Linked DNA regions of Caenorhabditis elegans. The protein of the gene in region 1 purifies or fractionates together with the protein of each later gene. This does not show direct contact. Each region holds a gene or a part of one and is shown on either strand. Other genes may lie near its edges. The genes, in order: ncs-2 and F56A8.3.

Region 1 (3,600 bases):
AAACTGGCTGATAAATGAAACATGAACGACCAGAAGGCGAAAGTGGGAGAGAAGGAGAGATTCAGAAGAATGAAGAGGTTCTAGACACTTCGCATTCGGTATTTATGATGTTGGCACTTGGAGCTACAAAATATAAGAAAAAGAGCAACAAAAAAATTGACCCTGACAAATCGGTCTCGACTGTCTTTCGGGCCTATTACCGTATATGTTTCGAAATAAAAGACGTTGATCATGTGAAGCTTCTTCCTTTTCTTCTTCTACTTCTTATGCTTCGTCTCGTTGTTGCCACACCACGTAATCGGATTTGAAGGACGATGATGAGCACACGCGGACGACAAGACGAGGAGGGCGAGCTCGGGAAAATTAGATTGAATTACCTATGTGGCCATTTGAGACTCGGCAAATAGGTTAACATCTTGGGACCAGGGTTCTGTGTGCAGTGAAATTGAAATTGAAATGATGCGAAAATCGAAATTCGAGAGAAAGCCAATGAAACTTGGTTTAAAATTTACACAGATTTTATTTTATATGAAATTATATATGGGTGAAAACTGAGAATGGAGACAAATGAAGTCAAGAGAGGTGGAACGAGAGAAGGAAAAAAATGAAGAAAAGAATTAAAAATAATAATTTACCGCATACAACTTATTTTCTTATTATTCAAATTTTCAAATAATAATAATAATAATATAAAAATTTGATTTCGCATAAAGGAAAAGTGCAAGAGCTTTGAGTTTTAACCGAGCTGTTAAGGAAAGTGGAGTGACAAGAGGCAAAAAAGCTACATGGGGTACGGTACCTAGGTACACACATCGATCGATTATTGAAGGGATTTGGGAAGGAGTATAGAGAAAGAATTTGAAAGGCAGAGAGGAGAAGACTCTAATCCGTCGTCTAGTAATGGATTAGTGATAATTTTTTGAGTCTGTGGTTAGACGGAAGAAGGAGAAAATGAAAAAGAAGAGAGCACAAAAACGACGAATAAAGAAAAAAGAAGCTGTGGTCGATATTAAATAAACACTACTACAGGCTGGTAAGTAGGGAGCAAAAATTAATGGCAACGAAGTGTGTGTGTCTGTGGAGAAGAAATAAACTTTCCGGGATTATGGGGAGACGGCTGGAATGCTTCGCGGGAGACAGGGAGACGAGGAGGACGAACTTCAGGAAGGAATCACAGCGGATCGTGAGAGAATTAAGAGCAAATAATATTAGACAAAACAATTTTAGGGCAAAAAACTTGAAAGAAAGTTCGTTTACTTCTTGACTTCATTGGTCAAAATTTGGAAGAGCTCCTTATCAGCAAGGCAGCCGTCAACGAATTCCTTCAATGTCAGCTCTTTATCATTGTTAACATCCATCTTCTCGAAGATCATCTTGGCTCTCTTTCTTGGAGAGTCGTCAGCAGATTTTGTCACTTCTGGGCCGAGCATTTCATAGATGGCCTGAAGAATTTATTTTTAGGATGACGATTAAAAGTGACACTTGACACTTTTCAAAGAAGGGAAATAATTCCGTTTTCTTTTGTTTCTGATTGAAAAAAGCTCACCTCAATAATCTTGATCATTTCCTTCTCGTCTATCGTACCATTTCCATCAATATCGTACATACGGAAAGCCCATTCAAGTTTCTGCTCGGGCGTTCCGGAACTCGTCACATTAATTGCCAATAAAAATTCTTTGAAGTCGATAAAACCCGAGTTATCCGTGTCGAATGTTCGGAATACATGTTCACAGAATCCTTCTGCAGAACCTGACGGGAAGAAATCCTTATACACCTTTATGAACTGCTCCTTGGTTAAGTGGCCTTTCGGACAATCTTGCTGAAAATTGCAAAATTTTACAGAATCATGTCAGCTTTTATCGTTTCAAGCCAAAAAACGAAAAACTTACCACAAATCCTTTATACCATTCTTTGATCTGCTCTTCGGTGAAATTTGTGTTCTTTTTCAAAAACTCCAAATCCTCTTTGGAGAGTTTTGGCTTGGAACCCTTGATTCCCATGGTTTGGGCTTATTCGTCTTCTAGGTGTAGTGTAGGGCTGCAAAAAAACGAGAAATTCATGTAACAAAACAGAATATTTTTAAGAAGGCAATTGATAAGAAAATGATACATAAAGCTATGTAGATATAGTCAGAAATGGAAAGAAAATGAGATACAGAGAGAGAGAGAGAGAGACAAGGGAATTGAATGAATAATAAAAATAACGAGGAGCGGGGTGGTAAAGAGGAAAAGGAGGCGCCCCTGAATTGATATGGGGCGAAAAAGAATATGATGAAGAGCATGTTATATGCACTAAACGGCGCCGTCAGACGCGCCCGCTCACTGCCGTCTCACTGTCGTCTGTCTCTTCGCTCATGGAAGCCTACAAATCGATGATGGTGTATGCGTGCGTGAGGAGTGAGTGTTGTGAGTGACGGATGAGTGTTTAGGAGAAATCATTAAAGCAGACGAGACGCAGCAGGAAGATGAAAGAGGAAGAAGTCGCAGAAACATGAACAATAACAGTAATCCAAATCTATAGATCTAGAGGTTTGGTGAAACTGCCAGAATCTACCAAATATGGTTCAATCTAGTCTACGAATCTTCAGTTTATTGACTAGTTAGCAGTAGCTATGCAAAAGTCAACAAACAATCCTATAGTCTAGAATACATTGAAGTAACACTTACAAACTTATCAAGAAATTAACTTTGTGGTAAACCTTTGTCATTCCTCGACATTACCGACCTGTACCCACCTCGAAAAAGCAAGGATCAGAAATAATTGTGGGTCGCATTTCAACTTAAGATAGTTCGAAAAGTGAATTGACTCAAATTTTTGTCCTTATCAATAACCAATATCGTCTGCTCGACGAGCAAGTATATTTTGGTTTTACATTATAATTTTGTCCTCTTTCCATCGAGAAAACCCGAAATTAGATGTCATCATAAACCATCTCAATTTCTAGAAATATGAGGCATATTGTATGTGCAACTCGAGTCTTATAACTTGACACTTGAAGCTTTTGAGGAAACATAAAGAATTCCATTTCAAAAAGAGAAATGTTCGAAATGGGAAAGTGTGAAAGACACGATGGCTGCTGATGTGAAATGGATATTCAGATGAGCACAACCACACACATATACACATATTCTCACCATGGCCAGTACTACATACACACACAGAAATACATACATACATACACCAGAATTGCTAATAAGCGCCACTTTCGGCGCCGTGTCTTTGCATCAATCTCTCTCTCTCTCTCTTTCGAGTTTCTGGTAGTGCTCGATGACGCATGCAAAATGACGGACGATGGTGATAGACCTACGGCCACGTTGGCACACATAAAAAGTGTTGGAGAGAAGAGGTGTGATAAGAAGACAAACTCAAGGAAATTTCGATAAAGCAAGGAATATTGCAAAATGAACTTGACTGTGAACAAAAATGAAGACCATCGAATTAATAGAGAGAACAACAAATTTAGATTTTTAAGGTATAAAAATTCAAATTTCAATAAATCATAAAAGAAAAATTTGGCACGTGTGTTTCACATCCGGAAACAGATGCCTAGACAAACTCTAAGGAATCGCTCTTCTGGTCCGAAAATGCTTGGAAGTGTGT
Region 2 (8,418 bases), on another chromosome or scaffold:
CGCCTTTTAAGAGTACTGTAGTTTCGAAATTTCGTTGTTCCAGAATTTCTATCGAATTATATAAATATCCCGTTTTTAATTTTTTAAAAAAATTCTTGTGAAAAACAAAAAAAAATCCGCAGTAGTCTCTTTCAAGGCGCACACTTCTTCGAATTTAATTGTCGTGCCGAGACCTCGGGTCCCGTATTTTCCAACTGTAACATAATATAGTTCAAGGGACAAAATACCAAAAACAATTGAAAAACCAGTGAATATAATTATTTTCATATATAAATTAAATGAAATACTGAGGAAACAAATTGTGTGCGATCCGAAACAAACCGCAACTACAACAAAAAAAACGGAAAAACACCAGTAAGAAGACGTAGTGAAAATAAATAAAATATATTGGAAAGGTGGAGGCGGGGGCGGGGCGGGGGATTCGATTTTTAGAGAAAAATGATCTACAAAAATCAACTAAATTCGAGGAAACGTGGATAACTACGAGTAAATTTATCGATTTTTTGAAGGGACGATAACCGTAGTGGGCAGGAGGAGAGAGAGGAGAGGAGAATAAACAACACTTTCAGAACAAAGAATTGAGACTTGATCATGAAATGTGTGGGTTCTAGTGGTTCAAAGTGTTCATTGCAGCATTGAATCCACCATCGGCGAAGGCAACGAAGAAAGTCTTGGCGCGAGCGAAGAAATGGACTAATAGAGCTGAAAAAAGTGGAATTAGAGATATTATTTTTAATAAGTTGCGATTTTTGCTCAGAAAATACGGTAGCAGGTCCGATTTTTTTCAAGTGCAAATATGTGTGCGCCCATAAGGATTACTGTACTTGCAAAATTCGCTTCGAGACCGGCTACCGTAGTTCTGAAGCTAAAATTGCGAAATTCCGCACCTCCAACACTGCGAAGAGCATCAGCAACGACTTGGAAAACCATCTTGACTCCAAGTACGAATCCTTCAAGAGCTGGACCAAACTGTTTTTGCCCGTTCTTCTTCCACCAAGCCGCAACGTTGTTCCACTGAAAATTGTGATATTTATATAATTTGTTAAACCTCTGTATCAAAGAATATACCGTCTGTTGAACGAATCTCTGAATTTTGACCCATTTATCCACAATCCAAGCGTGAATATTCATAGCAATCTTTTCGACTTTTCCTCCAACATCAGACTTGGCAAACTGCTTCCATTTTTTGCTGACAGCGGCTTGAACTGGAGCAACGTGTGGCTTGACTTGGTTGCTGAAAAAAACTATCAAAATTTTTATGGGATTCTTCAAATTCTCACTGATATCCTTGCAAGACTGATCCGTAGGCGGCTCTGGTGTTCTTAACAAATGCGGCAGATGGTTTGTTTCCAGTCGCCATCAATGTAAGATCCTTGCACAGTGGAGCAGTTCCAGGAATCGGTGATCCGAGGCCCTTGCAGTCGAGCGCGATTGCAACGGTGCTCGATGTTGCGACGACGATTGTCAGGTAGAAGACGCATGACCAGACGAATCCGAACACTGAAAAAATATCATTAAATTTGACTAAAATTCATGGTGCATCGAACTTCGAATTTTTTAGAAAGCTATAGAGAAAGAATGGAAATTGTTGCCAATTTTCCTCATTTGAATTACCGCGCTTTTGTCTCTAAACTCCGCCCATATAACCGTGCCGCACTTCGGCTTTTTTGTGCTGTTTTTTCAAATTTTTAGCGAAAAAAGTGTCAATTAATTTGCGTCGAAATTGAAAAAAACAAAAGTGCGGCACGGTTTTATGGGCGGAGTTTAGCGACACAAGCGCGGTAATTCAAAAAATCAAAATTTTACTTTTTTTTTAAATGTGGTTTTCTGAATTTTGAATACCTTTTTCCAGCATTCTAGACGTTTTTTTTTGCAGTTTTAAGCTAGAAATACTGAAAAATAACGTGGTTGCTTATTCAACGTAATCATACCGAGCATTGATAAGAAATATATGACGTTGGTAGGCTTGGAAAACAAATTGTTTTCTCAATGTCCCTTTAAGATTTGTGTAGATTTACGAGCTCGCGCGGGCAAGCTTGAATCCATTTTTCTTGCAGGATTTTGCAGTTTTTCGCTAACTTTTTTTGCATTTAACATGTTAAATTGGCAAATATTGACAATCTAAAATATAAAGAAAATCAGTTAAATCTTGCCCACGCATAGTACACGAGCTCGTAAATCTACACAAAGGGATATCGGCTCGGTGTTTCGCTTGAAAATGTCGAAAAATATAAAAATTTCTCAGATTTTTTTACATTTTCTGAAGAATCCACGTGGCTGCTCCGTCTTCTTCTGCTCATTCTTCTTCGGATGCGGCTCCTTCTTCTGCGATTTTGGCTGCTGGGAGTGGTTGTTCTTGTGAGAAGCGGCGTTGACAGTTTCGCGCTGCTGCTTGGCGTCTTTCTCTGGAAAATTTTTGGATTAAAAGTGTGGAATCAATTTTTTTTTGAAATTTTTGAAGAATTTGCTCAGAGCCCGTCCATTAAAAAATTTCCAAAACTTACTAGCCATCCTGTTCTTCGGAATCGTAATGTTTGAGTGGGAAGGAGAAAACTGAAAAAAAAAACGTAAATATTTGGGTGATCTACAGAAAATTATCAACAAAAAAAGTAAGAGGCGAGCGAAAAAATAAATAAAAAAGACATCAACAATCAAAGAACATTCGACAAACAAAAAAAACAACGAGGCAAACGTATCACAGAGGTCATCCACGTAGGTTTTACAACTTTTATAGTAAATATTAAGAAAAATATGACGTTTGTTAAGAAAAAATATTGTGATAAAGCCGGCGTACTACTCGAATTTCTTCAACTAAAAAGATCAAAAATCTAATTTCAAAAAAAAAAGTGTCAATCAAAAAGAAAAAGTTCGACGGGAAAAGAAGTGACGGAAGAATTTGTATCATCTTTTTTTGTTCCGCTCCTTTTTGGTAGACGCGGTTCGAAAGACTGGCAGTAGATCAAAAACTTGTAGGTCAAACAAAATATATTTATTTCAACTGGAGAATATAAATACCAATAGCTTTTCGATTATTACAGTTTGCGTCAATTGAACACTGAATATTTTTCAGCCAAATCGGCAAATTGCCGAAATTGAAAATTTCCGGCAAATCGGGAAATTGCCGAAATTGAAAATTTCCGGCAAATCGGCAAATTCCCGGAATTTAAATTTTCGGCAAATCGGCACATTCTCAGAATTGAAATTTCCGGCAAATCGGCAAATTCCCGAAATTAAAATTTTCGGCAAATCGGCAAACTGGCAAATTGGGGGTTTTGCGCTATTTTTTTTTTGGAAATTTCAGAATTTCAATTTCAATCGGCAAAATTCTACGCATCCTATGAATGCTCTTACATCTATTTTGAAAAGTAAGAAAATTCTATGAAAATATCTAAAGAAAATGGGAAAAAATTTCAAAAAGACACAATTTTAAGGATTTCCGTCTGATAAAAAAAATCCTTCTAAACATTTCCGGCAAATCGGCAATTGTGTCGAATTGCCGAATTTATCGACCAAAAAATTTGCCGGACGGCGATTGCCGCCCATCCATGATGTGAGGTACTAACAGGTAAGTAGGTAGGTAAATCCGATATGTTGCTAGTTGGACAGTCATCAATTGGAAAGGTATTGGAAGATTGCTGATGAGATAATGGGAAGACAGCCACTACTTCCTTGTAAATCTACGGGATCTAGGTTGTCTCTGCAGGTAATCTTGACCTTTTTGCAGAACATTTATTGGTGATGACTGCTCTAGCAAGATCTAGCTAGATACAGATAGATATATCTTGCTAGAGCACTCATCGCCAATAAATGCTCTGAAAAATGGCCAAGATTACCTGCCGAGGCAACAGAGATCCCGTAGATTTACAAGGCTAAATACAGCATTCTGCTTTTTTAAAATGAAAATGAAAAAAAATAGATTCTCAAAAGAAGCTCCATTTCACTTTCCATGAAAAAATATAGGTATTAAAAATAAAAATATTATATCTAAAAATACCATGTCTGCAGAAAAACCTAAGGATTATCAACTGGAAACCGGCGAAGAACAGGTATTCACACGTTCCGAACTGCAAAACAGCCACAATAACAACACTGACTATCCAATCGCTTAGTTTTAAAAACTAAACAGAGAAAAGAGGAGAGGGGGGTCACCGGTCGGACAGGCGCTTTTTCAAAGTGTCTGCGTCTCTATTGATCCGTGCACTGTCTCATTTTTCACATACACATACACACACACAAAACGTACGTGGTTGGTTGTGGTCAGTTGTGCAATCGGACTGCAAGTAGTGCAGTCGACCTTAGCAGTTCAACCAGATGAAAAATTAGAAAATGAACATGGGTATCGTAATTTTGAAAAAAAATTTGTACGTTATTTTAAAGTGGGTCTCGCCACGATCTCAGTCACAGTGGTCACTACGATACGACGATTCAATTCCCATCAGCTCACAACGGAACCAAAATGAAAAGTGATTCATCGTCAATGTGGTTCTCCTGCAGAAATTGTTTCAAATAATGGGAATTTTCAAATCGAATTTGCAGTTTTTTGCAAAAAATCATTTTACGACGCGAACTCATATTCCATCAGAAAACATGCTTAAAACAACGTGATAACAAGAAATCCGACACCTCCAACGAAGAAGCATCGCCGTCAAAAACGATGAGAAAATGCTGAGGAGGAGGACGACGAGTGGGGTCTGCCACAAACGGAGGTCTCGAGCTTCTCTATGTCTCCAATAGTTGCGTGCTCTTTCCAGATGCTCACAGGCGGCGTCGTCTTCGTATATAGTGAAAGGGGGAAGGATTTGAACACAAAAGGAATAGAAAATGACGACGAGAAAAAGGAAGAGAGAGAGAGAGAGCAAGAAATTGACAGATGCTGTGTGTGTGCCTTTATCCGCCACCTGCTCCTTCAATTTTATCCTCTGTATTCAAAGTATAATATTCGTGAATATTAATTGACATAATATAATTGTTTAAAAATTAGTTAAAATTTGCAAAAGTTACATAATCATCCGTTTTTTCTTTAACATGGCGATAAAACTAGCCAGTCTGGAGGAAATTTGCCTTTAAAAAAATCAAAATTGGCTTAAAAATCGATAATTCCACCGAAAACTGCCAGAAAAATGACACAAAAGCTGAGAAATTTCAATTAATATACAAATACATATATTAATTGAAAATTCTCAGTTTTTGTGTCACTTTTAAAAGTACTTTTCTGACAGTTTTCGGTTGAACTATCGATTTTTAAGCCAATTTTGGTATTTTTAAAGTGAATTTCTCCCAGAATAGCCAGATTTCTTACCATGTTAAAGAAAAAACGGATGATTATGTAATTTTTGCAAAATTTAACTAATTTTTTAACAATTATATTATGGCTAGTTATCTCGCCATATTTAAAGAAAATGTCAAAATTTGATCATTTTTTCCTGTAAAATTGAGAAAATCATCCAGGAAACTGCAGAATTTCCGGAAATTCTGAAAATGCGTTATTAATGGAAAACGGGCTCTGATATCTCAAATTCCAGAATATTTCTATAGTTTTTTTTCCTGCAAATGTACCCTTTTTAGCCGCCGCCTTCTCCTTTTTCTCCTGATTCTTCTTCATTCTCTCCTCTTCCTGGGCCTTCTGCACCTTGGCCTTATGCTTAGCTTCCTGGGCTTTCAGGCTATCGATGGCCTTCTTCTGCTCGCCCATATAAACGTCGACGACTTGCTTGGCAGCCTGCTTACACTCGGCATCAGTCCCACAGTTTCCTGCGATGGCGGCGAGCTTCGAGTTGAGCGGATTTTTCTTCAAATCCAGCCACTTCAAGGATTTTAAGTTGGCGAACGAGAGCGGCAAGTCCTGGAAAATATTGATTGATTTCTACATGCCTTAGCCGATTTTTTAAATACCTCTATTTGATTGTTATAAAGGTTCAAGTGCTGCAAGCTTGTCAAGAGCCCGATTCCATCAGGGAGATGATGAAGCTGGCAACTTCCGAAGTCTAACCTTAAAAGGGAAAAATTAAATTAAAATATACAAAAATTTTCAGCTTAAAACTCTTACCGAATAAGCTTAGTCATCTTGCAGAAAGATTCCGGCAAGAAAGTGATTGCATTTGAGCTCAGATCCAATTTCGTCAACCGTGGCAGTTGGACGATTGCATTGGGGAATTCTTGAATTCCGCTTGCCGATAAATCCAACTCATCATCTTCTTGCAAGTTTTTGAGCTCCGTCAGACTATATTTATGCGATGACATTGTAGTTTCACACAGAGAAATTCCCTAGAAATTTAAAAAATTGCGAAAAAAAATTTTTCGACACGCGGCATTGTTGGGATGGTAACGTAAAAGTGTGCATGTGAAAGAAGAGACGATAAAATATTAAAATAAATCTGGAGAAAGCTTTGAATAAAATGTATAACCTCTGAACTTGGGGAAAAAAAAGAAAATAGGAAGAAAAATCAGCAAACTAATTTGTGTGAATTTACGATAAACAACATGCGTATGCGGAATTTCGGAGCGTCGTTGTGGCATTTTGGAGGGAAGTTCAAATTTATGAATTGGTTTTGAAACAAATAAACCCAATAGGGCCCAAATTAATTTTCCAAATTGCAGTTTTGTAAGTAAAAATAATGGAATATTTTGATAGTTGATATAAACTATGGGTTGAAAACCATATTTTAAAAACTGAATTGAAAAAAAAAAACATCTTTATAATTATTATTAAATAGCACCTTGAAAATCGAATTGTACTCAACCTAAATAACTAAATATATGACAAATAAAATCAAAATATTATGGCCAAATTTGACGAGTTCGGTTATAAACAGGAAAAAAAAACACAAAAATTGAAGAAAAAAAAATTATAACTCTCCTTTCGGTTGCTTCTTCTCGGCTTTGTTCGATTTTTTCTCTTTTCTTTTCATTTCCTCAGCTTCTAAATCTTCTTTAACGCGATCCTTATCGTAGGAATTGAAAAATCTTTAAAAAAAACACATTTTTTGAGCCAAATCACGGTCTCAACACGACAAATTTGTTTCAATTGCGAAGAGTAGTACGCCTTTAAAGAGTACTGTAGTTCCTAACTTTCGTTTCAGCTGAATTTTCATAATTTTTTGATTAACAAATTCAAATTTAATATTAAAACACTATATTTCCAACGAATTGAAAGAAAACACTATGAAAATCGATTAAAAAAAAATCCCAGATAAAAAAGTTTGAGATTACAGTACTCTTTAAAGGCGCACACCTTTTCTCTTATAAGTCGTGTCGAGACCGGGTCCAGCCAAGAACTCTCATACTTTTCATTTTTCTCAATAAACTCGTGTTGTTGAGCCATTAGTTGCACTTTCTTTTCAGTTTCCTCATCAAAAATGCCAGTTTTGATAGAATAATTGTAGGCCCAGACGATCAAAGTCTTCAATTTCCGATCCTTTTGGATTTTCGTTTCGAAAAATTTCGAGAACGCTAGTGAGAGGTCTGTGAAGAAGGCGATGTTCTCGTGGAGCTGTAAAATGTATCATATTTGTGAGAAAATGTGTCTTTTCAAATTGAAGTTCAATCGCGCTTCAACGAAAAACTCCACCCCAATACTTGGGTCTCGTTAGGAAGTAGTATTTTTTCAAAAAAAAAAAAAAATCAAAACCATTTTTTTCAACTTCAAAAATATTTCCAACATCATTCCAACTAAAAAATTTCAATTCAAAAATCATTAGGCAAAAGTACGGTGGCAGGTCTCGACACGAAATTTTTTGTTAAATTCTAAACAAGTGTGCGCCTTTAAAGAGTGCTGTAATCTCAAAATTTTGTAGCAAAGAAAATTTTCATCGATTTTTCCTTGTTTTTCTCACGGTTTGTTAAAAATTGATAAAAGCTCCTTTTAAAGGAGCACACAATTTTTGGCAAAAATTGGTCGTTTCGAGACCGGCTACCGTACTTTTGGCGCCAAAATTGGCAAATTTCACGTCTGGGTAATATAAGTTTCAAAAACTCACCTTGGAAAGTGCATCCTTGAGCAGCTCACTACCGTGTGGGAACGGCGAATCCGATCGATGGGCGGTCCGTTCCAAAGCTTCTCGCGACTCTTTCAGCAGGTTTTGCACATTTTTCAAAACCTGAAGCACATTGAGATAAATTTGGTCACATTTAATAATACTCTTACATCTTCCAAAAACAATCTCCGCTTGTCTTTTCCAATTTTTTTAATCGACTCAATTGCGGTCGTATGCTCGATTCTCCGTTGTTTGAAGCTTTCGGTGACTGAAATAATCTAACGTTTTTTTAAATTGAATTAAAAAAAAACCAAAAAACTAACATAATTTCTTGTGATCAATATGCTCGGGCGCTTCTTTCGTTTTCAATTTAGCTGGATCCGAATGCGTTTCGCCTGTTTTCTCCTTGACATGATCGATTTTTGAGAGAACCGAGGAGACGACT

What was found.
Region 2: the proteins of ncs-2 (region 1) and F56A8.3 fractionate together in Caenorhabditis elegans (co-fractionation; one large-scale study listed by BioGRID). This does not show direct contact.

What each region holds. Positions count from the first base shown.
Region 1 is NC_003279.8:10,032,780-10,036,379, forward strand, and holds ncs-2 (Neuronal calcium sensor 2), read right to left. Parts: upstream 2,038-3,600; 5' UTR 2,001-2,037; coding exon 1,890-2,000; intron 1,820-1,889; coding exon 1,547-1,819; intron 1,443-1,546; coding exon 1,254-1,442; 3' UTR 501-1,253; downstream 1-500.
Region 2 is NC_003281.10:13,254,726-13,263,143, reverse strand, and holds F56A8.3 (Disease resistance R13L4/SHOC-2-like LRR domain-containing protein), read right to left. Parts: upstream 6,265-8,418; 5' UTR 6,241-6,264; coding exon 6,047-6,240; intron 5,990-6,046; coding exon 5,893-5,989; intron 5,843-5,892; coding exon 5,557-5,842; intron 2,554-5,556; exon of another isoform or gene 2,512-2,553; coding exon of another isoform or gene 2,505-2,511; intron 2,406-2,504; coding exon 2,256-2,405; intron 1,501-2,255; coding exon 1,281-1,500; intron 1,235-1,280; coding exon 1,069-1,234; intron 1,015-1,068; coding exon 888-1,014; intron 703-887; coding exon 608-702; 3' UTR 254-607; downstream 1-253. Other genes in the region: F56A8.9 (CAB39 protein), read right to left, coding at 6,846-6,963, 7,284-7,489, 7,977-8,096, 8,144-8,241, 8,297-8,418.